3 linked regions of the Astyanax mexicanus genome follow. The protein of the gene in region 3 interacts with the protein of the main gene of each other region in a biochemical or structural test. Links are inferred from orthologs where the notes say so. Each region holds a gene or a part of one and is shown on either strand. Other genes may lie near its edges.

The links.
Region 1: the proteins of usp21 (region 3) and aurka form a complex in vitro, tested with the Homo sapiens proteins (2 studies listed by BioGRID, with this or other methods). The link is inferred for Astyanax mexicanus from reciprocal best matches to the Homo sapiens genes USP21 and AURKA.
Region 2: the proteins of usp21 (region 3) and yod1 form a complex in vitro, tested with the Homo sapiens proteins (2 studies listed by BioGRID, with this or other methods). The link is inferred for Astyanax mexicanus from reciprocal best matches to the Homo sapiens genes USP21 and YOD1.

What each region holds. Positions count from the first base shown.
Region 1 is NC_064424.1:42,036,518-42,047,575, reverse strand, and holds the start of aurka (aurora kinase A), read right to left. Parts: upstream 5,444-11,058; 5' UTR 5,434-5,443; intron 1-5,433. UniProt on the Homo sapiens protein: Mitotic serine/threonine kinase that contributes to the regulation of cell cycle progression.
Region 2 is NC_064431.1:7,025,505-7,036,562, reverse strand, and holds yod1 (ubiquitin thioesterase OTU1), read right to left. Parts: upstream 5,219-11,058; 5' UTR 5,212-5,218; coding exon 5,106-5,211; intron 3,777-5,105; coding exon 3,549-3,776; intron 2,889-3,548; coding exon 2,191-2,888; 3' UTR 1,042-2,190; downstream 1-1,041. Other genes in the region: snrpe (small nuclear ribonucleoprotein E), read left to right, coding at 6,407-6,460, 7,229-7,255, 7,458-7,520, 8,720-8,798, 9,899-9,954. UniProt on the Homo sapiens protein: Hydrolase that can remove conjugated ubiquitin from proteins and participates in endoplasmic reticulum-associated degradation (ERAD) for misfolded lumenal proteins.
Region 3 is NC_064420.1:35,349,862-35,360,919, reverse strand, and holds the start of usp21 (ubiquitin carboxyl-terminal hydrolase 21), read right to left. Parts: upstream 5,834-11,058; 5' UTR 4,450-5,833; intron 2,731-4,449; 5' UTR 2,639-2,730; coding exon 2,483-2,638; intron 1-2,482. Other genes in the region: arhgef3l (rho guanine nucleotide exchange factor (GEF) 3, like), read right to left, coding at 8,954-9,201. UniProt on the Homo sapiens protein: Deubiquitinates histone H2A, a specific tag for epigenetic transcriptional repression, thereby acting as a coactivator.

The sequences.
Region 1 (11,058 bases), on a different chromosome or scaffold from region 3:
TCTGATCATAGTGGTAGCACTCAAGCAAAAAAAAATTGGTACAATTTGTTAATTATAATGATAATATTTTACCTAAAATGATACCTTTTAAAATTTGATGAATTAATTAAATAAATACATTTTTATATTTTATGTTCTGTTATAAACTTTTTTTTTGCGTAGATTTGTGGCCAAAAATAAAAGTGTAGTAAAAAAGAATAAAAATAGTTTGGTTTGGTTGGTTGTAAATTGTTGGTTTGGTGTTCTAAAGGGCTCACTTTTTGGTTGTTCACTATGTCCATGTGATAGTTCGCATTAGCCAAAACTAAAATTGTGTGATCATATTGAACTATTAACCCTTATGTGACCTTTAAATTTACAAAAACACATTTTATCCAAGGGGGAATTTCACCTTAGCAATTTTATTCTTCAGAAAATTATTATATAATACATAAAATTGTAACCAAAGTTTATGCTATAGTCACATGCTATATTAGTTTGTTGAATACTTAAACAGCCTTTAAACATTTTTAGGTACCACTTTAAAATAAGACTACCTTTATAAAGGGTTTATAAATTGTTTACAATTAGTTTATTAATGGTTACTTATTAGGTTGTAAATGTCTTAAAACATTAATAATCAGTTATAACACATATGTCGAAAGGGCAACAATGACCTGTTGTTTGCCAAGTAGTGAACCCACAGCCATCTATATTGTTGCCCTTTCTACGCATGTGTTATAACTGATTATTAATGATTTTTAAGGCATTTACAACCTAATTATTAACCGTAAATAAAAGAATTTTAAACCATTCATAAACCCTTTATAAAGGTAGTCTTATTTTAAAGTGGTACACATTTTTATTAAGATTCATCATCCTGACCACCTTTCACCAAACCATGAGGACGACTTGCATTGCAACACATCATAGCAATATATAATATATATATTTTGACAACAGAAATGTATCTGCAATGGTGAAATCTCTTAAAATATAATAAGTGGTAAGGCTGGCACAAGGCTGGAAAAAAAACTGCTTCTGGTGAAATCTCTGGTGAACTGTTCTATTCAGTTCCATATAAAGTATTGGACTAAAAAAAGCCTATACAATCCATCACAACACTCCACCCAGAGAGGGGCTAACCACCAGGCCATGACAGTGCCCAAGTGGTGCATCATTAGACTGAACTATTTTTACAGTTCTCGTTAAAAAAAAAAAAAAAGTTTAAAAATGACTGAGAGTTAAGTATAACAACAGAGAGTCACTGAAGCCTGCCAGAGAGTTTCTATTCGAGTGATTATTTATTTATTTATTTATTTTTTTTTTTTTTACAGTCTAGCAGGAGGTATGCTGTTAAGGTTAAAAGCCAGGGAGAGAAGAAGAATAGAAGAAACATTAAGAAACAGCTTTCTGTTCAATCTGATAAGATCTTGCATCGCCTCTGTTGTCTCCCTCTTCATCTGTTTATTGAGAGAATTTATGTATGAGAATCCAGGTGAGCATGTTTCACAATGGGTGCATTAGCTGTTATTTTTCTGATGTATGTTTCATGGATTTTCCTCTGATACAGTGCAGCCTGGTGGTGAAAGATCTAGTCCCACCCTGAACCTGCCTTTCAACCTTAACAACAGACAGCAGAAAGCAGAAAAAAAACAACCTTGCATGTATCTGAGACGGCGGGCTTCACTGTAAATCTGTTCTTTAGTTGAACTGTTAATAATATCCTTATAAATGATTGGTGTGAAAAGTTAACTATTTGAGCAGAAGCTCAGGGAAGCATGGTGGTGGATCTGATTCTTGCTCTGTGGATCTGGTCTTTGCTCTGGTCTTTATCTGTGGGTGGATATTTTTTTTTTTTTTTTTTTTTGCAGTTCTGCTTGAGTTTCCTCCCATCTCCCAAAATCACCCACGGTAGATCAATTGGCTATTCTAAATTACCTCAAGGTGGGAGTGAATAGAAGTGTAGTAATGAAGTAGTAGTTTTCAGCATATGTATTTTCTTTATATTCAGTTTATTTCTCTTCACTAATGTATGTAACTATGCCATACCTGTCAAGTTTTAGATTAAAAAATAAGGGATATTTTCCTCCGTCCGCTTAAAGCCGTCCCACCAGCCCAACGAAGGTTCAGTATCCCTTACATTTTAAGACAATGTTTACAAAAAATCTAAAATAACCACATGTGAACCACTTACAGACTACAATTAGATTATCTGTAATTTTTTTATTTTTAAAAGGTTTAATCTGTGTGTTTTGATTCAGATGAGTATTTTTAAGCAGCTATCAGAAAAATATTTTCTTTTAGAAAAATCGCTGTATATCCAGATCTATTTTAACATCAGCAGCTCCGACTAGCTGCCTGAACTCACAGCGATGGGGGGCGGGGGGTCTTCCCCACACTAACCCTCCTTCGCGCTCCGCAAAACCAGCAAGCTGATTGGCTGTTTCTCCTGAAAGGCGGGACTTTCTCCCTGAACCGGCACCACGATTGGTTAAGAGACACAGAGCGGTCAGTGCCCCGTCTCCTTAATAATAAAGTTTTTTTTTAATATTAATATAATACGGGACATTTACGGGAAAATTAAAAAACGGGAGGACGGCGGGAAAGAGGCGTAAAATACGGTAGTTTCCCGGCCAAAATGGGAGACTTGACAGGTATGCTATTCTTTAGGTAGTTTCGGTCTATGGCTGTCTATGGCTATGTATGTCTTAAGTGTTTCCAGATATATACCATATCACCATATATAAGGAGGCCCCCAAGAGTGGGGAGGGGGAGAGAGAGCGGAAACTTCAAATCCGGAAAACATCTCTCTCCAAGGCTGGCCTAGGAAGCCTTGAAGGTTTTGCCTTAGTCTTTTGTAATAAATCATTGTACTACACCTAAGACAATGTCTGCTGTGTCTTCTTCCTCATCTTCAAGCATCTTCACAGCAAAAAGACAGTGGTAAACGACAGTAACCTGCAATTTAGCATAGCCGATTTACCTACTATTACTGAAGGAAAGCCATATCAACACTGGGGGAACCCACTAAACTTCTTACAAATAGGGAACACAGCAAGCATCTTACCCGAAACCCGTACCACTACAGCTGTGGAGGCCATACAATCCCTACTGTACCACCTCATTACTGGTTAATGGCTCATCATCCATCCATGCATCCATCCATCCATCCATCCACATTTCCATCTATCCATCTACTTATCTGCTTCTTTGTGGTCAGGGTCACAGTGGGTCCGAAGCCTAACCTGAATCATTGAGCACACTTAATCACTGGGCTACCTGAATTTTAGCGAACTGTTATTTTGGCGAACTGTCAACCATGCAGATTGATTTAGGGCATGGCAGTTTGTCTTTGCTATTGTAACGATGGGATAAGTATCCCTTGCACAGCTCAAGATGCACAAATGGCATGTACTAATTATTTTAACGAATCATGGGCATGTTTTGGGCATACCATTCCGTTTGAGAACCAAGTGCTCTTAACTGACTGATTTTGGTGGATTCGTATTTTAACTTCTGTGCAGTGCACAAATCCAACTTTTACACGAACAGTAAATATAATACAAATTAATATAACATCGCTGTTCTCGTAAATGATCTGCTTGCTCACCTTCACAGCAACAAAAACAACCAGGTCATGTTTCTTCTGCTGAGAAGTACCCAAAACACACCCCTTTTGTACACCCCTTTTGTACACGCCTTTTGTACGTTTGGAGCCACGTAAGGCATACTTTTCCTGTCGTTATGATAGCAAAAACACACTAACATGTCCTAAATCCCTCAGCCCTAAGCTGCATGGTGCACGGTTTATGACTTGGAGGCCCTATTTTAGTGATCTATAGGTGTATGGATCATTAAAATAGGGCCCCAAGTGCAAACCCAATGAGACAGAGTGGGCTTAGAGCCTGCCTTGAGTTAATGCACGCAAGACATGAATGCCCACTGGACAGTCTATCAGCCTAAATCTATCATAGGCTACAACATACATCCTTTCAAACCTAAGTGTTAATTTAGCAAAGCTACCTGACCTACACTTGTTTTTGGAAGGTGGGAGGAAACCAGAGGAAGAAGAAACCCACATGGACACTCATGCCCAGACAGTATGAAGAATCGGCTGCATGGCAGCATCAGCTGAACCTTGGCATCGGCCATGCAGAACTGGGCCAAATGTAGTTTAGACCAAATTCCTCCCAAAAGAAGACCAGAGCTGGCCCACCACCACAGACCTCTTGAACTGTCTACTGCACCACTGTGCCACCTAGACTATAAATTACTAATTAAAATACTGATCAAGTTAGCATTTAATTACTTCTATGGTGTAGTGTACACAAAATAAAAAGCTGTGCAGTACTAGTTAAAAGTTTGGGCACACTTTCTCATACAATGTTTTTCTTAATAGGTAGTCATAGTATGCAGTAAAAATATTTTAAAAAGTCTTGATGGTCTCATTTCATCATTTTTTTTTCATTTATTTTAAAATATCTAGTTGTTGTCACTAGTATAAATGAATGCCATGTGAGCCGTTTTTTCTGAAAAAAAAAAAAAGTGCTCAGGTTCAGGTGTTTCTATTTAGCCCTGATTTAGATCACTGAATGAGAGGTCTCTGAAGAAAGACTGTATTTGGTTCTTGTAAAATCTTGTAAAAGTGAACGGCTCCCGCTTTGACTGGTGCTCTATCGAGTTGTGCTACCTTGTCAAACCGTGCTTTCCTAGTGTATATTTAAGGCAGGGGTGTCCAAACTACGGCCCGCGGGCCATTTGCGGCCCGTTTCCTTTTTTGGAGCGGCCGGCAAGGTATTTTAGAAAATAGAATGAAAGTTGGCCCGCTGTTAAGCAGGTTTTTATAATGTGAGATTCAAAGTTTGAACGCTAGGTGTCAGAAACGGGCCAAAGAGTCTAAAAGCGGAGAGGGTGTGCATTTCTAGCGCAGAAAAACGGGGCAAAGAGTCTAAAAGCGGAGAGGGTGCACATTTCTAGCGCAGAAAAACTGGGCAAAGAGTCTAAAAGGGGAAAGGGTGCGCATTTCTAGCGCAGAAAAACAGGCCAAAGAGTCTAAATGTTGCCGTAATTAAGGAGTTTAATATTAAGAGACATCATGAAATGAAACATCAATATGAAAAATCTTAGTTTACACAACACTGTCAAAGATAAAGATAGTAAGTCAAGTAAAATTGTGTAAATGAAATAATCAGGAAAAAAGTATTATTTAAAGTGGTGTATTTCATTATTTGTTTTATTACAGAGTCTGTGGCCCGTGACTTCATATATATTTCTCCTTCTGGCCCCCAACAAAAAAAAGTTTGGACACCCCTGATTTAAGGTTTCGGTAAAATGTTGAATCAACCGGAGATCCTATTTAAACCTACAGTTACTTACACAAGATAGCTAATGCTAACTAGCTGTGTAAACAGAGCTGTAAGCTCCTCCTTAGCTATAACTCCTTCTGCTGTACAACTCAAAGAGACCTATAGTATTTCACAAAGAACAAGAAAAAGTGGATTATAGCGGAATGAGACAAACCAACTTAAAAAACAAAAGCTCAAAAAATACTCTGTGAAGAATTTAGCTGCTTTTATCTGGGGTGCTGTTAACTGTCTAAGCTTTCTGAGGCATCTGATGAAATTCTGTGCAACAGAGGTAACTCTTGCTCTTCCTTTTCTGGGGTGGTCCTGATGAGAGCCAAGTTTTATCATTTTCAGCATTTTTCTCGCTCTTCGTGACTGCACTTGAGGATCTGTTTAACGTTCTTGACATTTTCTGTACTGAATGAGCTTCATTTCTTAAAGTATTTTTTTTTCTTTATTTAGTTGAGTAGTTTTTGCTTCTCATAATATGGATTTACCTCTTCACAACTTTACTTTACCTCTTCACAACTTTACAACTGACGCTCTCAAACACAAGAAAGAAATTCAAGTAATTAATTAATATTTTTTCCATGTTCTGTTTGTTAAAAAAATATTTTTACTATATAATTCCATTTGTTTTCTTAATACTTTGGATGACTTAATCTATTACAATTAATAGACTAAAAAAAAAACATAAAAAAAATCACTGGATTGAAGACATATGACTGGTACAGTATATCCTTACAAATAACTATCACAAAAAGCTCAACGTAAACAGGCATGTTTGCTACTAGACTCGAATGCTGATGATCCCTTTGTTTACACTGTTACATATTCTGTACAACTTTTTGACAACAGACTAAATTGAGCGACCCACATGCTGGGTATTACAGGCTTTGAGAGCTTATTCAAGACACGCTCCGTGCATCATTACCCCGTAGCGCGTGCACTTTGATTTCTCTTCGTTTTGCGAGGTGTGATGGGAACTCCTGAGAGTCAGATTCAATGCTGTCAAGCTTTGTCAAACAACTTATTATGAGCAACCTATTTAAAACCACTACTACACCGCTAGTGAAGAGGGAACTATGGTGTTGGTTCTGTAGTTTCGGCAGTGACATCACTTCTTTGTTGAGAAGTTAGGAGGTGCTGATTGGTCCAGAAGTTGCGACCCCTGATAATTTTCATAATTTTCCTTTGTAAATCATTGGTTGTTCAGATCAGCAATTTAATTTAAATATATCTTATAGCAGATGAACATAGTGATACTGTGTTTTGAGGGGTGGAATGAAGTTTATACGATTTACAGAAAGTGTGCAATAATTCTTTAAACAAAATTTAAAAGTGGCAGTCCATATTATATTGTTTCTAAACTGAAAACAGAAGCTTTTCTGAGTGGAAAAGGGACAAAATATTGTGTTTAATGGTACCAGTGTGCTGAAACGACCATTCCTGCTAAGCCTTATATATTAATTCTTAAAACTGGGGGGTCAGGACACTTTTCAAGGGAGTTCTTCTTCTGGCCACGTCACGTGTCTTTACAAACTTACGTCTCATGTACAGCCTCTAAAAGAAGATCTGGCTCAGTTTTACTGAACGCGAGTGGCTGGTGGAGCAATGGAGACTTCAGAAGAGGAAACTCAGACCTCAGTGTCTCATTCACTCATAGTAAAAACAAAGAAACAAAGGAGTGAAGTTGCTTTCTCTCTCTCTCTGACTGAACATAACCTGGAATCGGATTCATGCGCTCTGAAAGGAGACCGCATCACACCCGCCCAGTGTAACATAATTTTTCCACATGCTTGGTGCAATTATCCATTCTCACCAGAGAGGGCCCTAAATACCCCAAATCCCAAATCTTACAGACATCAACTTTTAGAAGGTGCATACATTTGGGCACCCCAACAGAAAAACTGAACATCAATATTTAGTGACTCCATCTGCAGCAAGATGATGATGATGTAGGTCTTTGGAGCTGGTCTGGAGGTCTTTGGGTTGACTATGACTGTTCTCACCATCCTTCTCCTCTGCTTATCTGAGATTTTTATTGTTCTGCCACTTCAGATCTTATCTAGAACTGTGCCTGTGATCTTCTAATTCCTCACTCTGTTCTTCACAGTGGAAACTGACAGTTGAAATCTCTGAGGTTTGAGCTTTTGTATTCTTCCTCTAAACCATGATGTTGAACAATCTTTGTTTTCAGGTTGTTTGAGAGGTGTGTTTTGAGGCTCTCATGTTGCCACTCTTCAGAGAAGATGATGAGAGAAAAGAACATGCAATTGGACACCTTAACTCTTTCTAATAATTGGATTCACCTGTGTATAAAGGTCAAGTGTCAATGAGCATACCAAACAAATTTAGTGTTCCAATAATAATCAATAAAATGACCAGCTTTATTTTTTTGTTATTGTACACTTTCTTTAAATCCTATAAACTTCATTTCACTTCTCAAATATCACTGTGTTTGTCTGCTGTGTTTAACTGAAATTGCTGATCCGAACATCCAATGATTTATAAAGGGAAATCATAAAAACTATCAGGAGTGCCACTTTTTTTATACCACTGATATGTACACCAACAAATATGTAAAGCACATCCTTGAGGGTTGTTAAAAACATTTATCTGTTTAGGATTCCTCCATGTTTCCCCCATGTTTTCGCTGCTTGTTCTTGTGCTTGTTTGTAAGCGTTCATTAATATTTCATCAGCATTTCCTCAGATGACCCCATGCAGGCCAGTTAAGGCACCTGGAAAACAATTATTTGTTGAGTAATACAATTGTAAAGGTCTGAAACATGATGGTGCCAAATGCTAAGCTGTGTAATTAAATACAGATTTAATCAGCTTTCTGCTATTTACAAACTATAAATATAAGTACAAATTAGTTACGAATATGTAAGAGATTTTGTTTTTGTTTTAGTTTGGTTTACAGGGTCAGGACTGTTCAATAAGTTCATATGTTTAAACATTATATATATATATATATATATATATATATATATATATATATATATATATATATATATATATATATATATATATATATATATATATATATATATATATATATATATATATGTGTGTGTGTGTGTGTGTGTGTGTATATATATATATATATATATAGCTACAGCTACAATGGTCCAAACGTATTGGAACATTCAGGTCAATTGCTTTATTTCTGGTGTAGATTGAAAATGAATTTGACATTAAACTATTAATATAAGGTTAATATGAATAATAAATGCATCTGATACACTGTTTAGATGATAGCACAGATAGTACGCATCTTTCTTGTGAGCAAAAGTATTGGAACATGTGACTCTCAGGTGTGTTTTGTTGCCCAGGTGTGACCTGATTCATGAATTATCATTAAACATTAATTATATAATAAACATCATTCAGTTTCGGATTTGGGTTTTATCTGTGCATTTATATAAAAAAAAAAAAAAGAGAGCTGTCTATTGGTGAAAAACATGCAATTGTGAAGCTGAGAAAAGATGGAAACTCAATCAGAGCCATTGTACAAATATTGTCCATATCCAGAACAACTGTTTGCAATGTCCTGAAGAAGAAAGTCGTCACTGGTGTACTTAGTAACAGATGTTGAACAGGTAGACCAAGGAAATCCACAGCAGTTAATGACAGAAACACTGTGAGTGCTGTAAAGAAAAAAAAACCCTAAAACAACTGTTAGTGTAAAAGTTTTAAAGTAAAACTTCCAAATATTCCTCAAGAGTTACTTTTACTTTTATTAAAACAGTAGTTTTACATTATACTGAAACTTACTGAAGCTGCTTCAATGTAGGACAATCTTTAGCTAATAATATGAGATAAGGTCACTGAAAAAAGCTAATATAAAAGCTCTGTGTGTGTGTGTGTGTGTGTGTGTGTGTGTGTGTGTGTGTAACTGAATGCATGTTCCACCAATAGGTGAACCTATAGTAGCAGAATTCACTAATTAGTGCAGGTGTCTGGCTACTTTTGGACACATCAAGACCCAACGAAGACCTGTCTCTTTCCTCCATGAGCACGTAATTAAACACAGACCTTGCACTTATTAAAGCTCTGTTATTGTACTGAAAAATCTTATTTCTGCAGATATACAGGGGTTGGACAATGAAACTGAAACACCTGATTTTAGACCACAATAATTTATTGTGGTGACGGACAGTTCTGAGTTCTGGTGGAAACAGGAGAGTTGAGGTGCACATTGAATTCTGCCGTGATTTGAGCAGCCGTGCTTTTATGTTTTTTGGATACAATCCGGGTTAGCACCCGAACATCCCTTTCAGACAGCTTCCTCTTACAGCGTCCACAGTTAATCCTGTTGGATGTGGTTGGTCCTTCTTGGTGGTGTGCTGACATTACCCTGGATACCGTGGCTCTTCATACATCACAAAGACTTGCTTTCTTGGTCACAGATGCTCCAGCAAGACGTGCACCAACAATTTGTCCTCTTTTGAACTCTGGGTATGTCACCCATAATGTTGTGTGCATTGCACACAATTTTTTTGACAGGCAGAATAGATCGCTATTATGATTACTATTATTATGATTTTTGGTTGCTCCCCTCCCAGTTTAAATGTAGTTCATGTACTTCATAGAAAGTGTCCAGGTTCGGGTCTAGAGGTGGTCTGAAACCAAAAGAGTTGCAGAGACAGAGCAACAGATTGCAGACAGCATTTTTTGATCTACGACAAAAAAAGCAGTTTCTACGAATCTCGTGCAGCAGCTGAAGGTAAAATTTAGAGATAAGTCACAATAGCCCGAGACGTTGACTACATTCACCCATCTGCTGCTCTACTGCAGAAAATGTCAGATCAGACTGTGGCTCATTACGGGGCGGCGGAGGACAGCCATTGGCTGGCAGCTTTGAGCTTCCTTTTTTTTTTTTTTCTTTCCGAAGTGCAGAGGATCAATGAATGCGATGCTTGATGTTCTCCGCCATCCGCTCTCCTCCCCGAATCTCGCCATGAATATCATCCTGAATCGGCTCCTCACGAGGAGGAATTTTAATGACATCTGCTGCCGGAGCACGAAATGCCAAGGGTAAAGACGAATCATATAAAGGCAGCAAATAAATCTAATTAGAGAAAAATATGCTTATACGCCTGTAGGTTGAGGATTAGCCAGATGTTGTTATGCAATCTATACTCGTCAGAAATTATAATCTGACTTCTGTTGCTGAGGATATTGGAATGTGTATTAAACCTGGGGGGCTTATCTTATGAAGGATGGCAATCTGTTCCTCTCTTTCTCAGTTTCTCAGTCTCTCTCTCTCTCTCTCTCTCTCTCTCTCTCTCTTCCTTTCCCCCAACACACACTCTCTCTCTCTCTCTCTCTCTCTCTCTCCCTCTCTCTTTTACATACTTTTGGTTACAGGCATTCATTCGAGAAGGTCACCGAAGTGGGATGCTAGTTAGAAAGCTGTCTATCAAAAAGAACTTTCCTGTCTGCAGAAAAAAAGAAGGAGAAAAAAGAAGGAGAAATAGGCATTACTGCAGTCTCTCATATACCTGTGGCCTTTTTGCTTTGGTGCACTACTTTAAATGAGACTTTCTTGAGCTATTGTTACACAGAGGAATCAAGAGAAACAGTCTTATAAGCAGCAGGAAGAACAGAAAAAAAAAATAAAATAATAAAAACCTCCACAAATAACCTCCAAAAGCATAAGCCTGAATAATTCAGCGGGCGCGATAACAACGACAGCATTTATTATCTTTAAAATTAGAACT
Region 2 (11,058 bases), on a different chromosome or scaffold from region 3:
TAGTCGGAGTTTTAGGATTAAGCAAAAGTCTGAATCTTAAATAGTTCCTTATCAGACTTTTAATTGCACAATGTTATTCAGTGCCCTATGTAGGGGGTTAGAGACACTTTGAAGGTGTAAATCTCAAATGGTTCCTTATCAGAGCTTTATTACAGTGTATGTGTTATTCAGTGTCCTATGTAGGGAGTAAGGGACAGTTTTAGGTTTAGCCAGAGCACAAATCTCAAATAGTTCTTTATTAAGACTTATTTAACTGTTATTAAGTGCTCTAGGTAGGGCACTATGTTGGATAAAATGGTCAATTTTAAACTGAAGTGGGACAATTTGAGATGTAGCCAAAGGTTAAATGCCAAATAGTTCCTCAACAGACTTTAATTGCACTGGGTTATTCCCTTCCCTATTTAATACACTTTGTAGGAAGTAGGGTACAGTTTGAGATTTAAATAAAGCTTAAATGCCAAATTATTCCTTATCAGACTTGTATTACACTGTTTGTGCTATTCAGAGTCATATGTATTGCACTTTATAGGTAGTATTCTACAGTTTATGATTTAGCAAAAGGTTAAATCCCAAATGTTTTCGTATCAAAATGTATTCAGTGCCCTATGTTACTCAGTGCCCTATGTATTGCACTATGTAGGAGGTAGGGGAGCCTTTTAGTTTTAGCCAAAGCTAAATAGAAGTAGGCCTGTTTTTTCATCTACATACACAAGATGGCAGGCTGCTGAATGAAACAACTGCCAAAATAGGTTTGCTGCCTGCCATTGTCATTCCAAATCCTAGGTAATCCTATTACTAAAGTTAAAAGATTTCTTAAAATAGCATTACTTTAATCGTGCAAATTGTTAGAGACATAATCCTGTTTATCTGAATGGGATTTATTAGAGAGGTAGTTGATAGCAAGTGACACTTAATGTACATCAAGCCAAATACAGTAAATAAACTGTTGTGTTCTGCAACTGCAGCATAATTCAATCCCAGAATAACACCACAGATGATGAAGCTTATGGAAGCTCTTACCTGTTGAATGAAACAAGCAGGTGTATCAATTCATCCTTTATTTATGGTGTAACCATTACTTCATTAACTTCCTGTTTAGAGCTCTGCTCAGTGATGATGTTTAAAGCTTAACATCATCCAATCCCACTATCCAAATAATAAAATAACATACAAAGCCTTGCGTGGACAGTACCTGACTGCAAATGTATTGTATTTCCAGTTATCACCAGCACTAAAATACATTCTATGTATTAATGTATTGTTTAACCACTCATACTACTTACTGTACTAGGCTAGGTCACCAAGTCCAGCGACATTTACCCCAGTGTTTTCAAGCACTTCAAAAAATCTGATATGACACAATTCTTCACTGAAGGAAAGAAAAAAAATCAATCTTGGCAAAAACGTTTCGTAGCCACTTGCATAAAGGTGTTTTGCATGGCCAGTTGTACAAACAATAAAAACAGTGCAGTTTGGAACGTAAATCCACACCACTATACTATATAATGTTTATAATGTGAGTCCACAATCAGCACCATTTGTTACACAATCCACTCTCTCAGAAGCCTAACTAAAACTACAACCCATGCTTTTCAAATACTTTATGCATGAGAAGCTACCTGTTAAAAAAAAAATCATAAACAACTACAGAATGCTCCTCACTGTCTGATCTTTGCGACTATTTCAAGTAACAGTTATTATTGAGCCAGTGAGCTTTTAAGACCATTCAGTGCCATCGATTGTTCGGAAATGTGCAATATAACCTTAAAATTGAGAAAAGAAATAATCACACAAATACAGCAAGGCTATCAACTATGCAATAGTAGTGTTGCAAGTTTTAAACACTGATAACGAAGGCAATGTTTGACATTTTGGTTTGAATAAAAGGCTCACTCCTCATTAGGCAATAAACTCAATTGCTACATATCAAAAATAAAAAGGTGTTGTTGCAATACTGTGCTGATAATACACACCAAAACGTAATGCTCAAGAATGTCAAAAACCCAGTGTTGACCAAGAGTTGTAATTAATACTGAAAAGTTGGGGGTTTTGGGTTAAAACACATTGTGAGGTAGAAAACGGCACCAAGCTGAGACACACAACTGTGAATTAGTTTGGGTTTGGGTTCAGGTGAGAACATATACCGAGTGGCAGTGGGAGGGCACAGTAAAGGTGATCCAAAGCGAACTGTTACACTTCGCCGAAGTTGGTGTGACCCGTCTCCTTGGCATGCTCTCTCGCCTCCTTTTGTCCCACCAGGCCGGTCTGGCACACCATGCAGCGCAGCGCGAAGCGGTTGACGTCCGTGTACTGCCGCTTGCTCCTTGCCTCGTCAGCCAGCTCCAGGGCCTGCGCGAGGATGATGTCGTCGGTAGTGGAGAAGACAGTCTGCGGTGGGATGTCCGAGCCAGGCGTTGCCCTCTGCAGCGGGTCGTAGTGGATTCCGTCGTAAATAAGCAAGACACGTTTCTGGTAGCCAGCATCCTCGCCAAATCGGTCCACACGAACAGTTTGCGTGTCCACGACACAGATTTCGCACTGGTAAAACTTGGACAGGATGGAGACCTCAATAGCACCCCCCCACGTGTCATCACGCCGGATCCAGGTGCAGTATTCGTCGTTGCTTTTGCCCAGTACTGCCTCTGAATAGGCAGCTGCGTCACTGGCCACGATCTGGGCGATAAGGCCGCGCATCTCGGGTGCGCAGGCTGGATCATACACACCCCCCTCCACCACGTAGTTCACACTCGTAAAGAGGCAGGAGTTGTCAGCAGGAACCACTCGGCGCTCCAGAACAGGAGAAGAATTTAGGCATGGGACTTTTGTTAGAGCAGCATTAGTCTGGACTTTTGGTTTGTTCTTTTCTTCTTCTACAATCAGAGTGTCTCCTGTAAGAGAGGTTATGAAGGGAAAGCGGGGAGACAAAAAAAACATTTTTGTAAATGTTCTTTCCAATAACCAAAGATATAGGTAGCAATGTGAACAAATACCAAAAACTATGCAATTCGGTGTGAAATGGACTTGAAACGTGACGACCAGCATTGCAAAATACAGCGTTTTTAGCCAATGCTCCCCAAACAGGCTTATGCATGTTAATGCACGTTAGAAGCTTTGATGAGTGCTCATGCAAATATCGTTTTAAGTTTTCCTAAACTCCTAACGAGCCACAACAGAGCTCCATACAGTTTAACCCCAAATTAGTGTGCTTTTTTTGTTGTGTCTGTCCCAATTTTTCAAAGTGTATACTTTACTAACATTGCCAAATAGTAAGTGAAAAACATCCTGCAACCTTCCCGCTTCTTCCTGCTTGTTAAAGAAAAAATATAAATACATAGTTATATGTTATTTTATGAAATAAATATTTATAGAAAATTCACTGAATTAACAAAAATTGTGCTACATCATAATATAAATTATCAGAATATCAGAATATCCAAATATATATGATATTTAGATATGAATATGGATTTTTTTTTTCTGGTTATATTGCACAGCCCTACTGGGTAAAGTCAATTCATGTTTAAAAATCAACAAAATAAAAACCTCACCTGATTTTATAGGGTAGTCTTTTAGGTGAGCATCTCCATTGCGAAGATCCAAGCTGGATGGTGGGTAGCCCACCATGATCTTCTGAACGTCGCATGGAATTCCAGTTAGCTCCTCTACCTTGGTTTTCAGCTCTTGGACACAGGACTGGTGCGTGAGGCCTTGCATCAGATGGGTTCCATTCTTGGCCTTGCACCTCAGTCGCAGCATCCTGAGTCCCTTCAGTTCTGCTTCGGAACAAACAAACTCAAAGATGTAGTATTACTTTTACTTGCTTTGGCTTCTTGGACATCTTTGTTGTCGTGTTCACAACTGGTTAAACTGTCAGTTCACAAATAAAGAAAACGTGATCCTTCTTTAAAATATTACGAAAAATTTATAAAAGACGAATCACAATGTCAGATATCGTTATTTACAGGAGATCCTAGACCTTGCCTCCTTTCAGACGTAAATATGAACAAAATTGAAATATATGCGTAAATTTGACCATGTTTTAATAACAATTTTACCTTTTAAGGAGCACCTATTTTTGTGGGTGTTTTCGCAATGGATTTCTCACACATGCTTCATCAGATCACAATAAAGCTGCTATTTGAATAGGTAGTGCACTATATGATCCTTTGAAACAAGTACTTTTACACTTTTCCTTGAGTAAAAAACTTGAGTTGTTACTTTAACTTCTACAAAAGTATTTTTAAACCACTATATCTATACCTCAACCTGAATAATGAATGTGAATACTTTTGACACCTTTGGTTAAGGCATTCCTGAGTAAATAATTTAATTCCTGAAAGGATATAGTGTGATTTTGGGGACCTAAATAAACCAAGCTGCTGACCACTGCCTCAGAACCAAACAAAAGGGAAATAAACAAAAGACACCTGGTTGTAATTGTCCACAAACAGTCGGTGAGGTAGCTGCCTGCCTAAAACAGACAGTCAGGTAGGTAAGTAGCTGACTGTGCTAAAACTGATGCAACAGCTTGGCAAACCCCTAAAAGTGTATCCAAATTTTGCTACATACTGTTAACCTGCTTGTAATGCTTTAGCTTCATTTATAATAATGTTGCACTGGGTATTGTAAGCTAATAATAGTTAGTAGCTTAGCTAACGTTAGCTAGCTAGGAAAGCTGCGTTAAACCACATAACCCAACCCAGCATATAGCTATCTTACAATAACCTAGAATATTTGCTAGTTAACTAGATTTAAACTCTAATAAAGCAGCCTTGTAACTCCCTTTACCCAAATTAATAAGAACTGTATTTTAGCTCAGCAATGTAACGTTGCATTAACGTTAGCCAGTCAGCTAATCTACCAAACCTAGCTTAGCTATGCTGGTCTTAATTCAGCATAATAGACAACTAGCTTATCTTAGTTTAGCAAGCTAACAGTTATCTTAGCAGCATCTCAGCGTCAATATTAAATGAACTTTTGCATTATTTAATCAAATACCGCCCTAGTTAACATCGCAAATCTGTCCCCAACAGAACCGTGCTCATATACGGTGGCTTTTAACCGTTAATTCGCTTAAATTGTCTGTATATCGTAGCGTTTCTCACCTCGGAGCGCCTTCCAAATAACAACACACTGGCCAACAACTGACATGCGCACTGCGTCACACCGCGTGCACAAAACAGTGCAGACGCAAGCAGTTGTTGAGCTCATGTCATCTTTCCACGTATGTCTGTGTTTATTTTTATGTATCAAGTTTTATTACATTAACTAAGTTACACGTTTTATGTATTTACATAAAAAACATAGCTTGTTATTTTAAATATAAAATAACTGCAATATTTAGAATAAGAAAATATCTTTTAACATTTTCACATTTTGCCACCTTACAACACAAAATTGTATTTGTAATGTAGTTGTATTTTATTGCGATTTTAAGTGATAGAGCAACATATAGTCTATAATATATATATATATATATATATATATATATATATATATATATATATATATATATATACACACACACACAAAAAAAAAACTATTAATTGGATTTCTGCATAAATTGGACAATAAATGTGTACTGATTTTCAAGTCACAACAATAAGCAAACACAGTCTGCTAACACTAGTGATGGGTCTGACGACCCTGAAACCTCGACACATGCGCCGAGCTGTCAAGGCGAAACCCCGTGTCGGTGCGCGTATCAAGTTAAGGAAAACCACGTGACCGATACACTTACTGTATCGTTTGGTAGCGATGGGTCTGACGACACTGAAACTTCAGCGCATGCACCGAGCAAACAAGGCGAACCCCTGTGTCAGACCGCGTATCATTTTAAGGAAAACCATGTGACCGATGCATTTCTTCGCGCAGTTGCTTGCAATGACTTTCTTAGTCCAGCAGATGTCGCCATTAAGTGATACAGCAACACAGTTTCAACACAGTGTCGATACAGTTTGGGAAATGTGCCATACACCCAATGAGGCTTCATCTGCCCATCACTATTGGTGAATATAAATCACGCGTCGCACAACAGAGCTCTCAGAAAAAAAAAATGTCATAAATCCATAGATAATTTTAAGTTCAATTTTATATGAATCCCTCTTCTTTTCTTAGTTTGAACTGTGTTTGTAAAATCAAAAAGAACAAAGAGAGAAGCGGTAGTAAAGGTAGTAGTTTCTGAGCGCAGGCAGCGTCTCAGGGCCGGTCTCTGTGTGGTTAGTCCTCCTGGTCGCTGCGCGGCGCTGTAGTAAAAATCAGCCCCAGGCAGCTCTCTCCGCGCTTCCCCCCGCCATCGCTGCTACACCAACGTGAGGAGATCGTTCCCCGGCGAGTTGTATTCTCCAGTTATTACAGTTATAATATTTATATTACAGCAGCAGCTCCAGCCCCGCGGATCAGCAGCATGGCGTACAGAGGACAGGGCCAGAAGGTGCAGAAGGTGATGGTGCAGCCCATCGTATCCTTTACTACTGAAACTGATTCACTGCTGGAGCTCCACTCCATTCATTTAGCTTTAGCTTTAGCGCTAGCTCTAGCTTAGCCTCTACTCACTTCTGTAATGTTACCTGCGTTAGATAACCTATCTAGCTTATCTTATTATATCGGACTACTCTAACTGCTATATTACTCGCGGTGGGTTAAATTACTGCAGATAGAATGTGTTTGGGGGAGTTTATAAAGAGTGCACTGATTCAATAACTCTGCTAACATTAGTTACATATAAGTTACGGGGTTAGTGTTGGGGCTGTACTCATATATATATGTATTTCTATCTGTATATCTGCATATCTGTATATCTATTTATGTGTATATCTGTCTATTTATCTGTATATTTATCTATCTGTATATCCATCCATCTATCCGTAATTTTGAGCATAGGGCAGGTTCTTGTTTGAGTTTGATAGTTTAGCTAGTTGGACTACAAGCAAGATAAAACTTACCAAGCTAATCTAGGCAATGGGGCTGAGCAATACGGATCAATTGTTAAATGGCGATATAATATACATATGTAAATTCCAAAAGGTAATTTGCATAGGTCATGCAGTAAAATGCATATAAATAGTATAGCATATAATAAATTAGAATATGTTGTGGTATTAAATGTTGTAGAGCAGTGTGTGTGTGGAAATAATCAGGTGGACTAGTTCGATATTTAATGAGAATGGCTTTGCTAAATTGTGATTTTTGCCTGTGCTAGTTGTTTGTCCTTGACTTCTGTCTACAGAATCTGATTTTCAGGTATCTACAGAATGTAAGTGCAGCTTTTTTATGGTTATTATTAATGGTCTTGTATGTGGGTACACAATAAGATAACAATGTGAATAATAAAATAAAGTGCAGACAATTTATTCTCATTTTATGACTGCACCGTATTTAATGGTTATATTGTGTATCACAATTGTGGTTCTAAGTTTGTGCTGTTGTTAATAATCTTTTTGTCCTCTTTTCTGCAGCGATCTCGTATCTCGGTTTGGCTCTATGAGCAGGTCAACATGCGGATAGAAGGCTGCATTATTGTAAGTAATTATTTACTGACCTAACTAATCAGAGAACACTATATTTGTACTTTGCAATAACATGCTTTCGCATTGCAAGCAGTAGCCACACCGCTATAGGCTGACCCTCATGGGTTAGTTGTTTCCCCAGCACCAGGACAGTTTGGCGCTGATGAAGACCACTGTGGAATGCGTTGCGTTTTCACACCCATAACCATACCTTTGCCATGCTACTGCTTACCACAGCAGAAAATGCATTGTAGTCCAAACATGGGCAAGTGAGTAATATTGACGATTAATACAGTTAGTTACACTCATATAAAAATATCAGGAAAAAGATAAGAATCAATGCTTTTTTTCTGACGTTAAGACAGATGTGTGTCTACAGATGCTGTAGCTACACCACACATCAAAACACTTGTAGATGTGACTCATTTTTAAAAACACTGGCCTGTTATCATCAGGCAACCCTTGGCATCAGCAGTAGCACAACACAACCACAATTGGCTAGCTTCCAGCAAAGCAGAAAGCAATGTGGCATACCGATGGCGATGTGAAAGCTCCTTAAGCCCACCTGACCAAATAGACTATGTAATGTTTTCTCCTTGTTTGCTTTGTGTATCTTATCAGTTCCACCCAGCAAGTAAGAGCAATTTGTAGTTCTATAAGTACAGACTGTAGTTCTGCATCTGTTTCTGCATACTTTATTATTATCCTTATTTTACCCTGTTCTTCAAAACTCAGGACCCCTCAAGGCCACCACATTTCAGTGGTGGGTCATTTATTTTCAGCACTGCAGTGACTGTGGTTTAGCATAACAAATGTGTTTGGGATGTTGGTATGTGTTCTGCTGGTGTTGGTACAAGTAGATCCGACACAGCAGTGCTGCTGGAGTTTTTAAACACCTCTGTGTCATTGCTGGCGTTAGAGTATTCCACCAACTAGAAATATATCCAGTCAAGTGTCTTGCTCTAAGGTGGTCCTGTTGGCTTCTGACTATTGAAGAACAGGATGAATGGATGCTAATAATGTATGCAGAGGAACAGATGTGACTAGAGTGTGTATGTATAGCTTTCAGTACAGACTAATGTCTGTTTGTATTTAACCTGTGAAATGTATTTTTTGGGGGGTGTATTGGATTCGTTAATGGCCTCTGTTGTATGTTTGTTTTAATGATGTTATTTTATCAGTGCTATTTCTGTTTTTATCTTCTGCTGTAGGGGTTTGATGAGTACATGAACTTGGTTCTGGATGATGCAGAAGAAGTCCACATGAAGACCAAGAACAGAAAGACTCTGGGTAAGGAGTAGGGATAGGACTATGTCAATGTATTTGGCACTATTTATGAAGCTAACAATGTCTAACTTTGTTTAAGATGGACAGTTATTTTAAAATAGTGCAGTTGTGGGGTCCAGTTTTTTTTTCTTTCTTTAATTTGAAGCAGCTGGCAGAGGTGAAGTCAGTTCTTACACAGGAGCATTTTCATACAATAACTAATGCCTTCATTACATCGCAGCTGGATTACTGTAATGTACTTTATTTTGGGGTCAGTCAGTCCTCCCTCAAACGCCTCCAGTTAGTGCAACATGCTGCTGCCCTAATTTTAACAGGATCATGGAAGGGAGAGTGAATAACTCCCATTCTGCCCTCCCTCCACTAGCTGCCTGTAATTCAAACTGATTCTTTTATTATTATTTTTTTTTAATCTTTAAATGGATTCACCCCACCTTACTTTGTTGAGTTACTCCATCCTCACGTTCCTGCATGATGCCTCAGGTCAGCTGATCAGCTGCTCTTAGAGGTGCCATGGTCAATATCTTAAAGGGGACAGAGACTTTTAGATTGCTGCTTCCAAGTTATGGAACAACATACTTTTACACATTAGGCAGGCCTCTTCACAGTCCGTTTTAAAACTAGTCTAAAAGCTCATTTTAATTCTTTGGCTTTTAACCTAAAGTAAGATTTTGCTTCCGTTTGGTTAGGATTTTTTCTGTCTTAATTGTTTTTTATGTTTACTTTTATTTTTTTTGTCTTATTGTTTTAGTGTTTGTTTTTGTTATATAATTATCTATGTACAGCACTGTGTTTGAAACAACCAAAAAGTGCCCCCCAATTTCACTTACTAAAGTTACTCCATGTGGCACTAATCAAATGAATAGGGTGAACCTGCAGTAAAGAATATTGGTTGTGAAATTCTGTGAAACTGACACCAATAATTCTGTAATTTTTTGTGATTTGCTTATTTAGGGGTATTTTATTATATCATGATAATATTGTGTTGATATTCTCTGTGATTTCTACCCCCAGTGAAGTGTTGGACATCTTTCAATTTTTCCCATGGTTTGAATCATGTCTGGCAGGTGTACTGAAACGTTTTTTTTTTTTTTTTTCTCCAACAGGGAGGATCATGTTGAAAGGAGACAACATCACGCTTCTGCAGAGTGTGTCAAATTAGCCGTTCAGGTTCATCAGGATGATGGAATTTTATTTGGAATATTTTTGTTTTCATGTATGTGATTTTTCCTTTTGGGGGGGGATAGGGATGATTTTTTTTGTGAGCATGTTGACTCCTTGTACCTTAGCAGTGCTCGTGATGAGTGATGTTTTTTCTATAAAAACAAATTAAAGACTTTTTTTTGTTTCTTTGTACATAAGGATTTTTATTTAAAATTCAAATATGTTTGTAGGAAAACTTTTAAAACCTTCATGTGGTATTGAGCACCAATCAAAAGTTTGGACACTTTCTCATTTTATGTTTTTTTTTTTATTGAATTTGTTTTCTACATTGTAGATTAATATTAAAGACACAAAAAAAGTAAAGGATACATGTGGAATTATGTAGTAAAAAAAAAAAAGTGTACGTCCTCCACATTAATCCCCTGATCTAAATCTGATGAACTGAGATGGTGATTTGAGGTGATTTAATTGGGAGGAGCTGGAGCTTCACAGTGTGAAGAAAAAGCCGCAACTACTGTTCAGCACCTCCAGGAACTCCTGCAAGGTCCCGAAGAGAAAACTATTCCAAGTCACTTTACCTTATGAGATAAAATACCAAGAGTGTGCAGATCTGTCCTCAAAGATAAATGTGGTATTTAAAATAATCTAAAGTATAAAACATATTATGGTTTAACACTTTGTTTACGAAAAGCTTCAATAATGCTGCATGTGATCCTGTATAGCTTTAATATAGTCTTCAATTCTAAATTTACAATTAAACATTAAAGAAAAGAAAACACACAGTATGAGTAGAGGTGGGTCCAAACATTTAAAAGTTATGAATTAGGAATTGTCTAATTGCTAGTTTTTCAGGATGGGAACCTTTGCTTACACATCCATACAGTGATCAGTGATAAGTCTTACAGTGCACAGTATTTGTTTGCTGGACAAACGGGGGTTGGACAATGAAACTGAAACACCTCTCATTTTAGTGTGGGAGGTTTCGTGGCTAAATTGGAGCAGCCTGGTGGCCAATCTTCATTAATTGCACATTGCACCAGTAAGAGCAGAGTGTGAAGGTTCAATTAGCAGGGTAAGAGCACAGTTCTGCTCAAAATATTGC
Region 3 (11,058 bases):
TTCCTACTGCGGCGAGGAGGCAAGTCATGTCCTGGGGGCATGCCTCACCATTTTCAGGGCATCCAGGGGTGACAAGGACCCTGGAATTCTTGCGCAGGCGGTTTTGGTGGCCGAGTATGGAGAAGGATCTTCGTGCCTTTATCGCTGCATGTGAGACATGTGCACGCAACAAAACACCCCGGTCAAGACCTCAAGGCCTTCTTCATCCACTGCCCATCCCATCACGCCCATGGTCCCATGTCTCCCTGGACTTTGTTACTGGCCTGCCCCCCTCCAAGGGTAACACAGTCATTCTGGTCCTTGTCGACCGTTTCTCCAAGGCCTGCAAGTTTGTGGCATTGCCCAAGCTGCCATCGGCCAAGGAGACAGCGGCACTCCTGTTACAGCACGTGGTCAGGATACATGGGATGCCAAGTGATCTGGTGTCCGACCGGGGACCCCAGTTCACAAGCCGTTTCTGGAAGGCCTTTTGCCGGCTTATGGGGGCCTCTGTGAGTCTCTCCTCTGGATTTCATCCAGAGTCCAATGGTCAGACCGAGAGGGTCAATCAGGACCTTGGCCGGACTCTGCGATGTTTGACCTCTACCAACCCCTCCTCTTGGGCGGATCACCTGTCATGGGCGGAATATGCCCATAACACCCTCTGGCATTCATCCTTGGGCATGTCACCCTTTGAATGCCAGTTCGGGTTCCCACCGCCCATGTTTGCCGAGCAGGAGCGGGAGGTAGGGGTCCCTGCTGCTGAACATTTTGTGCGGCGTTGCCGGAGAGCCTGGCAAAAGGCTCGGGCATCTCTCCTGAGAACGACTGAGGCAAGGAAACGAGTTGCTGACCGCAAAAGACGGGGTGCACCAACTTTCCGTCCAGGTCAGCGAGTCTGGCTGTCAGCTAAAGACCTTCCACTTCGGGTAGAATCCCGAAAGTTGGCACCACGGTTTGTGGGGCCGTTTAAGGTAGATCGGCGTATTAACCCAGTTACTTACCGGTTGCACTTACCACCATCTATGCGGATCCACCCTACATTCCATGTTTCTCGCCTCAGACCCTTCCTTTGTGGGGCTGGGGCTCCTCCGGCCCATCCTCCAGCTCCTCGTCTTATTGATGGCTCCCCAGCATATACTGTTCGCCGCCTCCTGGACTGCCGCAAAGTGCAGGGTGGTACCCAGTATCTGGTAGATTGGGAGGGCTACGGGCCAGAGGAACGGTCTTGGGTTCCAGCACGCCACATTCTTGACCCAGAACTTATCAGGGAGTTCCGACAAGCACGTGCTGCGGGCTTGGGTACTTCTGGGGCCGTCCCTAGGGGAGGGGGCCCTGTAAGGGGTCGGCCAGTGCTGCCAGCGGCCAGCAGGGGGCGAGCACAAAAACCCCAGAATGCCAGAAGGTAATCAGTGCAAACGAGACACACCTGCTGGCACTGGTATATAAGACCAAGGAAAGCAGCACCCTCTTGCCACACCTTTGTAGAGGGGTGACCGGTAACATAGGGTACTGAAGAAAATAAAAGAAAATAAAAAGAAAATAAAAGGAAAAGAAAAGATCTCATAAAAAAGAGAGGAAAATAAGAGATCTGAAGAGAAAGCAAAAACTTACAAAAGAAACAAAGAAATAAAGAAATAAGAAATAAATAAAGAAAGAAAGAAAAAGAAAAGAGCTCCAAAGAAATAGACTTCTTTTAGCAAGTCTGTCCTAAGTTTCCTTTTTAGTTTGTTTGCCTTTCCTTTGTTTGAGCAATGCCATGTGGCATCTCCTTTGTTTAGTTTTCCCGCCTTTTTCCCTCCTCAGTTAAGAGGGTGTTATTCCAACAGCTGCCTGTCCTTGCCAGTGGCGCAGGAGTAGAGTGTTGGCCCAGCACTGTCAAGGTTGGGAGTTCGAGCCCAGCATAAAGCAGTCCCTCTCACACCACTTCACATCCATAAATCCTTACATAATCCTTACACAAATATTACTTACCTCTTTGCACTTGGGTCCAGTCCTTAATAGTCCCGTGACAAAATGATTATAGTTTTGAGTCCTAAAAGATCCTACATGTATAACTGATTGTTCAACTACTAACTAATCTAAATGGAAAGATTCCTAGAATATTTATACACATCTTAAAATATCCTCTCAAGCTCTGCCTCTCCCGCGGTGCACCCTGCAGCACGGCCTGTCTAGGATGTTTCCATTTATAGATCTCTGATCCCATTATCTCAGGCAGGGAAGACCCAAACTTAGACATCACTGGGGTCAAGAGCAAAGGCGTTAATCTGGCAGTGAGACGGAGCGTGAGGGATCTCTTATGGGTGTCTGTACATGTAAAGGGCATTTTACACCATGTATATAATGCGCACAGTTTTTGCACAGTCCAAGAAAAAAAGAAAAAAAAATTAGGACTACTTTTTTTCTCTTCTGTGAAGCCAATTAGCCTGCTAAGACTGTCTAACACACTCTACGCTTTCTGTACAGAATCATTTACACTGAAGCTCTGTGTGTGTCTTACCTCCCTGTCGGCCACCAGCAGCAGCCCCATAAGGGAGGTGTAGAGCACTGACTGGGAGATGTCTGTGCTCTCAGGCTGGAGGCCATTCTGGTTCAGCAGAGAGCGGCACAGGGCCCGGCAGGAGTTATCCATGTGGTTGGATGCGGCTCTCGGCATTTGGCCCTAATACAGGGTGAACTGACGCCAGGCAGATCAGAGGAAGAGGAGTATGAATGGAGATGGCAGTGTAGAGCTATAGCCTGAATGACCTATAAAACAAACAGCAGATGAATTAAAAGATGAAAGCATATATACACCTCTGGAAAAAATTAAAAGACCATTTCAGTTTCTGAATCTGTTTCTCTGATTTTGCTCTTTATAGGTATATATTTGAGTAAAATGAACATTGTTCTTTTATTCTATAAACTAGGAACAACATTTCTCTCAAATTCCAAATAAAAGTATTGTTATTTAATGCATTTATTTGCAGAAAATGAGAAATGGCTGAAATAACAAAAAAGATGCAGAGCTTTTAAACTTTTTAAAGTTCATATTCATAAAGGTTAAGAGTTCAGAAATCAATATTTGGTGGAATATCCCTGATTTTTAATCACAGTTTTCATGCATCTTTACATGTTCTCCTTCACCAGTCTTACACACTGCTTTTGGATAACTTTATGCGACTCCTGGTGTAAAAAGTCAAGCAGTTCTGCTTGGTTTGATGGCTTGTGATCATCTATCTTCCTCTTGATTATATTCCAGAGGTTTTCAATTTGGTTAAATCAAAGTTTAAGTCTATAAATTTGCTTATCTTGCCACTTGCTTTAATATTTTTAATTTTTATTTTATTGTGTTATTTTATTAATTTGCTCATCTTTTTTATCCGTTTTATCCTGGTCCTGGGAAACTATGGGAAACTCCTCACAGTGAGGGGTCAAAGATCAAACCCACACAACCAGACCCCTGATGTTGTGTGGCACACTGTGCCGCCCTTATAATATGGTTAATATTAACATATAACTTATGTAAATCTATTTTACAATAACCTAATTCTATACTATGATTATAGAGCTTTATTATTATCTCTATTCATAATTCTGTAAACTTTTTAAAACTCAATTTTGGCTTATTACAGATTTGTAGCAAGCTAAAAAAAAATGATATATGCAAAGATTGCACAGGAGTAACATATCATCTGTGTCATATCAGAAAACCTATATTTCTGAAGTGGCAACTTTAGAAGAGAACTTTTAAATACTAATATATTTTAGTCTAATTAATAATTTTAGACCTTTTGGAGCATTGTGAATGGACCATTCATCAAGAAGTTACAGAATGATGTTAGAATGATTGTATGTATTGATTCTAACATGTTGGCTTTGTGTTAAAATGTATTGTAATGTATTGTTTTTTATAAATGATTAAGTATCAGGAACTATACACTATATATAAGAATACTGTACATCTGCCAACTCCAATATTACTTTGATTAATAGTCTGTAAATTCCTATCAAATATCTAAAGTCTGTGAAATTGTTTTTTGTATGTTCTCTTTAATTTAATCCATAAACTGCAACATTATTTTAATTAATAGGAGGTTAATTCACAGATAAATCAACTTAATTATCAATCAATTAAATTATTTTTCGATTTACCTTTTAAAAAATGTATAATTTCCTAAAAGAACTTCAGTCAGCTTATTCTAAATAATATTCAATAAATAAAATTAATTACATAAACATGTATTGGGTTATATAATACCGTATTCCTGAATGTACTGAACTGAAGGTATAGTAAAGTACAGCCAAATAATTGCCTACACTCATGAACTCATGAACGGCTTTAATCATGACTACAATACTTATAAAAAACATACAGTTAATAACAGAAACATAATAACATAAATAAAGATTAATTATTTAGCTAAAGATAAATTATTTAATCTTTAAACTTTTTTGTGACAGAAATGTTTTGTCATTTTTACTTACAGTCTCGTCTCCGGTGGTCACACTCCACTCAAATCCCAGCAGATGCTGAACATCAGTTATCCAACAAAGCTGTGTAGAAAATTTCTGAACAAATATCCCGTTTTTTTTTTGTCACTATATGTTCTCACTTTCACTTCAGGCTGCTACTCACCTGGCCACTGTACAGAGAGTGACCCTTAATCACCACTAATCTTTCCTCTCCTCTCCCTGTACGACTGTCTATACTTAGCCAAGTCCTCTCACCATAGCTGGAGCAGATTACACCAGTGAGCCTGCCCCCATAACTCTGCATTACACTAGCAGGCCCATACGCAAATAAACAAACAAATTCATAAATAAACAAGTAATGCACATTTTTATATAAATCAATTGTTTAAATTCAATTGTACATCACGTTTATAAGCTACACAATAACTACAGTGGATTACAGGGTTTACTGGACAAAAGTCATATCTCATTATCTCTCTGCTACTTTCTCATATTGACCTTAAGAACTAAATGGGTTAAAACATAAAACTGTCAGTCCTTTTTACACAAAAAAAAGAAAAAAATATATAATAAAAATATTTACGTTCACATGTTCACTATCGCTTAAATTTTATGATACACTAAAACAGCATCCACATTCTACAAAATCATACCATCAAATGTCACACATTCAATACAGATGGATGACAAATTAACCCCTTTCTGACACACACAGAATTTATTTCAAAATGATAACAAATTTTTAACTATAAAACTAAACCAGAATTTGAATTTTTATGTGTAGAGTAAAAGGTCATTTCCAAAAAAACATCGCTATAACACCTGCGTTTATATTTGTATCTTTTTCTTGGATGCAATACACATTGTTTTTGCACCTAAATACATAATAAGCACGTACATCACTTCCTGTGTGCCCAGAATATATTTAGAATTGTCCGAAAATGTATTTAAACACTATTGCAAATGAAGAAAAAAATGATTTTTTTTTTTTTTTTTTTTTTTTTTTTACAATGACCATCATGTCTCAAAAGCTTAAAGGAAAAACCATCATGAAGTCACAGTAAAGGGTTGTGTTATCAGATCCCATCAGAACAGCGAACAGAACAGTGCAGCCTGATATAGGGTTTGCAACATAACTCTGGAGGAACCGTTTCATTGAATTAGAATAAATGCTCGATTTTTTGTTTTCTGTGAAGAGTGTTCACTGTGCAGTATAAAGTCAGGGTTGAGTAGAATTTCTAAGTTGTAAAATCAATCATGGGTAAGCAGCGCGACCTCTCAACCGGAATAGTGGCTCAAATTCAAGCCCTTCGCCAACAAGGCTTGACCCAAACTAAAATTGCTGAGCAGCTCGGCATCAGCCAGTCTTCCGTCTGCAAAGCTCTCAAGAAAAACTGCAGCAAACTGTTCCGGCGTCCGAAAAACTTCTGCTCGCGACAACAAGCAGCTGAGAAAGATCGCAGTCAGCAACCGGTTCAAGTCCACTTCCGAGCTCACCGACTTGTGGAACAAGCAGACCGGCGCTGACGTCTCCAGATCAACCACTTACCGTCGTCTGCGCGAACTCGGCTTCAAATCTCGCGTTCCAGCAGTAAAACCGATGCTGAACAAGAAACAAATGGAGAAACGGCTGAAGTGGGCCAAAGAACATTAAATTTTCCAGGTAACGAGTTCTGTGATTAGTCTAACGAGTAGGACAGGTGCGGTGAACACCTGATTTGCTTTCTGCACAAAAAATGCATTCAAAGAATTTCATGATTGCACTATTTCAAATTATTCTAATTCTTTGACCAGCACCTGTACTCTCTCTGGGTGGGTAGATGGCGCTCTCTCCCCACATCACTTCAAAGGGTGATGTCGATCAGCACAAGGCATCTGTGAGCTGATGTATCAGAACCAAGTTGCTGTGCTTTCCTCCGAGAGCGCTGTGATGCTACTCGGCAGTGCTGCATCAGCAGCAGTTTGAAAAAGAGGCGGTGGCTGATTCACATGTATAGGAGGAGGCATGTGCTAGTCTTCACCCTCCTGGTGTTGGGGCATTATTAGTGATAGGGGGAGTCCTAATGAGTAGGTTGGGTAACTGGCAGTGTAAACTGGGGAAAAAAATGGGGAAAGTTTTTGAAATAAAATAAATAAAAACCAACTAACTTTTTTATATTGACTTTGTAAGGGTTAAACATTCGAGTTGTATATGCCACAAATGAACTCGCCCACTTGTGGAATGATTAACAAATCACCTGTTTCCACATCCTGAGAAACTATTAGTCATGTTTTTCCTTACATATCACACAAACGGATGAGCATCAATGTTATTAAATGTATGTTTTTAACCACAATTTTCAAAGCTGTTTGCTGATATCTTTGCTATCACGTCACTTTAGTATCTGTTTTAACTGGAACACTAGTCAGATTGCAATCCATCCCCAAAAATAATTAAAAGTGGGACAAAATATCGATATTGTGATATATGGTTTTCTATATCGTTTGCAATACATAATAGACACATGGCATCTAATATTGACCTTTTTTTTTTTTTAAACTAGACTACCTAATTCTACTTAGTAAACTTACAGCTTCATTACTCCACATGGTGGCGCTAATCAAATAAATAGAGTAAACCTGTGGTAAAGAATATTTGTTGTCCAATTCTTTGAAACTGACACCAATAAAGCCGTAATTCCTATTGCTTATTTAGGACTTTTCAGTAACACAGATGGCGTGTAGTATTTTAGAGAATTGTCTTGTGATATATTTATTTCTGTGATATATATATTATATCACAGAATAACAGAATTGTGATATATCGTATCATGTAATGTCCTCGCACTTCAATCCTGTCTTATTGGTCCAAACATCAAGTGTCAAGTGTGTCTATTGAAAATTGTATACTACAAAACTAACAAGCAAACTGGGTTGTTAACTAGCTTGACAGTATAATAAAGCACTCCTATTTGGAAGCATTTACAGCACTGATCATTATTGCAATGCAAAAATCCTGTATCTCCAATAGGCCTGTAACTATATATTGTACGGATGACATATTCTCCAGGAAATAGGTGTAATAAGACCTTTTACAACCCTGATACAATGTATAATATTAAAGCATACTAATGCAATTGCAAATTTCACTTTAAAATACCAGCAAACACTTAATTTTAATTATATTTCTAATAATAATCATATTGATTTACCATGTTAATGGTCTCTTATCACGAAAAATACAATGGGTGATAATAAGACAAGCAAATTATTAAGTCTAGGTTCATATATTGTACAATAATTTCTTAAAATAATTATCATGACTGGCCTGCTCTACATTTTCTTCTTTTTTCTTTTGACATAACATAAATCTGGCATTTATTCTTTACATTGTGTCTGATTTTTATGATTAATGGACCAATAGAACCTGCATTAAAAGTGATGAGTTTTTTCCTCCGCTTAATTTGCCATGTTGGAGCTAAACTATCTGGACAAAAGTATTGGGACACCTGCTGTTTCATTGTTACTTCCGAAATCAAGAGCATTAAGGGCATTAAAGTGGCAGTCCGTATTTTTTTGTTTCTAAACTGAAAGCAGAGGCATTTCTAAGTGGAGAAGGGACAAAACATTGTGTTTAATGGTACCAGTGTGCTGGAACGACCATCCCTGCTAAGCCTAATATATTAATTCTAAAAACTGGGGTTCTTCTGCCCACGTCACGCATCTTTACATACTTAGGTCACACATGTACAGCCTCTAAAAGGAGGATACGGCTCAGTTTTACTGAACGCATGCGGCTGGTGGAGCACTGGAGACTTCAGAAGACATCTCTGAAGACATTTCCCTCACCAGTTTCTGACCTGCTCTGAAAGGAGACCGCATCACACCCACCCAGTTTAAAATGATTCTCTCGCATGCTCGATGCAATTACCCATTCTCACCAGAGAGGGCCCTAAATCCCCCAAATCCCAAAACTTACAGACATCAGCTTTAAGAACGGTGCCAATAGATTCATGTTTATCTGCCCCAGAGATGTATATTCTATTCCTTCTCTAATGGGACTAGATAAGCTTACTTAAAGAGCAGAATGCATTCATTCAAGGGGTGTCCTCAAACATTTGGACATATAGTGTATGAGGTTTATGTGTGACAGCAACGTTATCTTATTCCTCTTGTTCATTCAGGTTCTTCTGTTGATTTGTCACCCATCTGTATTATCATTTATACACAATACAAACTGCATCACATTAAACCGGTGGAAGTGCAGAAGGATCGTACAGTACAGGTGTGAGCACTCACTCATACACTCAACCAGCTCAAACCAGTTTAAGACATTCTTCAGTGCTGACTTACTGCAGCACTGCAGCATCTGAAAACATTCATATAAATATTGTTCCTCTTTAGAAAAATGTATGCTATGTATGCAATCTGCTAATGTCTCTTTGTGTGTGTGTGTGTGTGTATGTGTGAGTGGGGGGTGTGTAAAATGGGAAAGCTTGCTTTGTCTCAAAGTTATTTGAAGTCTGGTAGGCCAGGCCTATGTGTCTGGCATCTCCACATCAGAATTCAAGCTCAGTTCAGCAATGTGATCCAGGGCGGGGTCTGGGCTTAATCGGGATGAGGCTTTGGACTGGCTGTCTTGAGAGAATCTGTCTCGTGATTGGACGATGGCTTGGCGTAGGCAGGAAATCCACTGCTGCTTGTTGAAGGAGTCGTTGGCCTGCAGGCTGTGAGACTGGCCCTTGGTGGAGCGCCCTCTGCTGCTCACACGGAAGCAGTTCTTCACTGAGGAGAGGAGGAACAGAGAGAGAGAAGTTACAACTCTGCATTAACACATGTTCGATATCTGTATCTATATCTGGATATACATTGGTTGAAGTGCAACCACAATGGGTGATCTAAAATCAGATCTCATCAATCCACACAGTTCTGTTTGTGCTAATTAACTGTATATGTCACATATGTCACATCTTCAGCCATATCATTAAAGCCACCTGCCTAATATTGTGCAGGTCCCTCCTTTGCCCCCAAACAGATCTAAATTATCTAGGTATAAACTCCACAATACCTCTGCAGATGTCACCTGGTCCCAACAGGTCTTGTAAGTCCTGTAAGCTCATTACAGCTAAGACCCTTGGGCACCCAACACCCTATTACTGGTTCACTGTTTGCCCTGAAAACCAGGAACACCTCACAAGTTCTGTTGGTTTGAAGATGCTCTGAAACCCCCAAATTAGGCCCTTGTTAAAAAAATAACCAAGCCACCATTATCTGTGTCCATTGTTGCTGCTTCCAAAACATCAACTTCAAGAACTGATTGCTTACTGCTTAATATGTACCGGTACATTCCACCCTATGACATGTCTGAATGTAATTTACTTTAAAACTCAGTGATCTGCTCACTCATCACTACAAGTGTATTATATGCTGTCAAATTTAAGGAAAAATGAAAAAATATCAGGCAAACTGTCAGCATCAATTGAGAAGAAGCAGCAGGCTAAGCTAACACGCTCTCACATGCACACAACTGCAACATAAAAGAGAAGTCGAGAGCTGTGGGAATAAAAAAAAAAATCTGCCTGGTTTCACTTTCAAATATGTGAACTACATGCAGATAGAGTAAAATGCACTTCATTTACACTTCTGCTGAATGTGGTCAAGCTTTGTGTCAAAACACATCCACACCTCCAAATGTGTCCTAAGCGATCAATTCCTAATCCAATACAGTGCATCCTGGGTATGTTTGCATCTGGATTTTTTTTAAAGCTCACCTTCCGTCGTTTTTTCTTTCATTTTAAAATGTCTAGTTGTGGTCTCTAGTATGAATGAATGACATGTGAGCCGTTTTTGTAAAAAAAAAGTGCTCAGGTGTCTCTGTATAGCTCTTTTTTAATGGACTGTTTTAGGGGTGTGTCCAAAATGACCGGATTCCAGCTTTGCTCATGAATATTCATACATGCAAACAGCATGCAAATATCTCTCCTCTGATTGGCTAGGAGCACTGCGACGCCCCTCCACCGCTCTGCCGCTCACTGCCTCCCACCTCCTAACTGATGAGCGGTGATGTTGCGTCGCTTCAGCTCCGCCTCTGGGAGTTTCTGGAGCCAAGGTGGGCTGGTCTGTGAGTTTCTGCCTACGTAGGCAGAAAGATAATTCAAAATTCACCCGTTTTTCGGAGTTGGGGAGGGGGGATTTCTTTGCTTAGCTCCTGCAGACAATGGGGGCTGCAAAACAGTTTAATGTGCAGGTGTACACATTCAACTCGGAGAGACCTACTGTATTCCACAAAAAACAAGAAAAATCGGATTTTCGCGGAAGGTGACCTTTAAGCAAAATGCAATTAACATGATCTGTTAAAAAAGGCATAATAATGAAAGGTGTAAACAGCCTGTGTGTGATTAGACACATTCCATTACATATGGCAGTATTAGTAACATCATCAGGAGAGCTACAACTGCTGGTTAACTAGGTAACTTTAGGGCATCATATGTATTTATTTGATTTTATTTTTTTGCTCTGCCTTAAATGCTGCAGTCGTCTGTCGTATCATTTAAGGTGGAACAGGAAAGTTAGATAGGTAGTTAGCTACTGAGACAGACTAGTAGCGATCGTTTTTATCACTTTTAACAAGAAAAATTACAT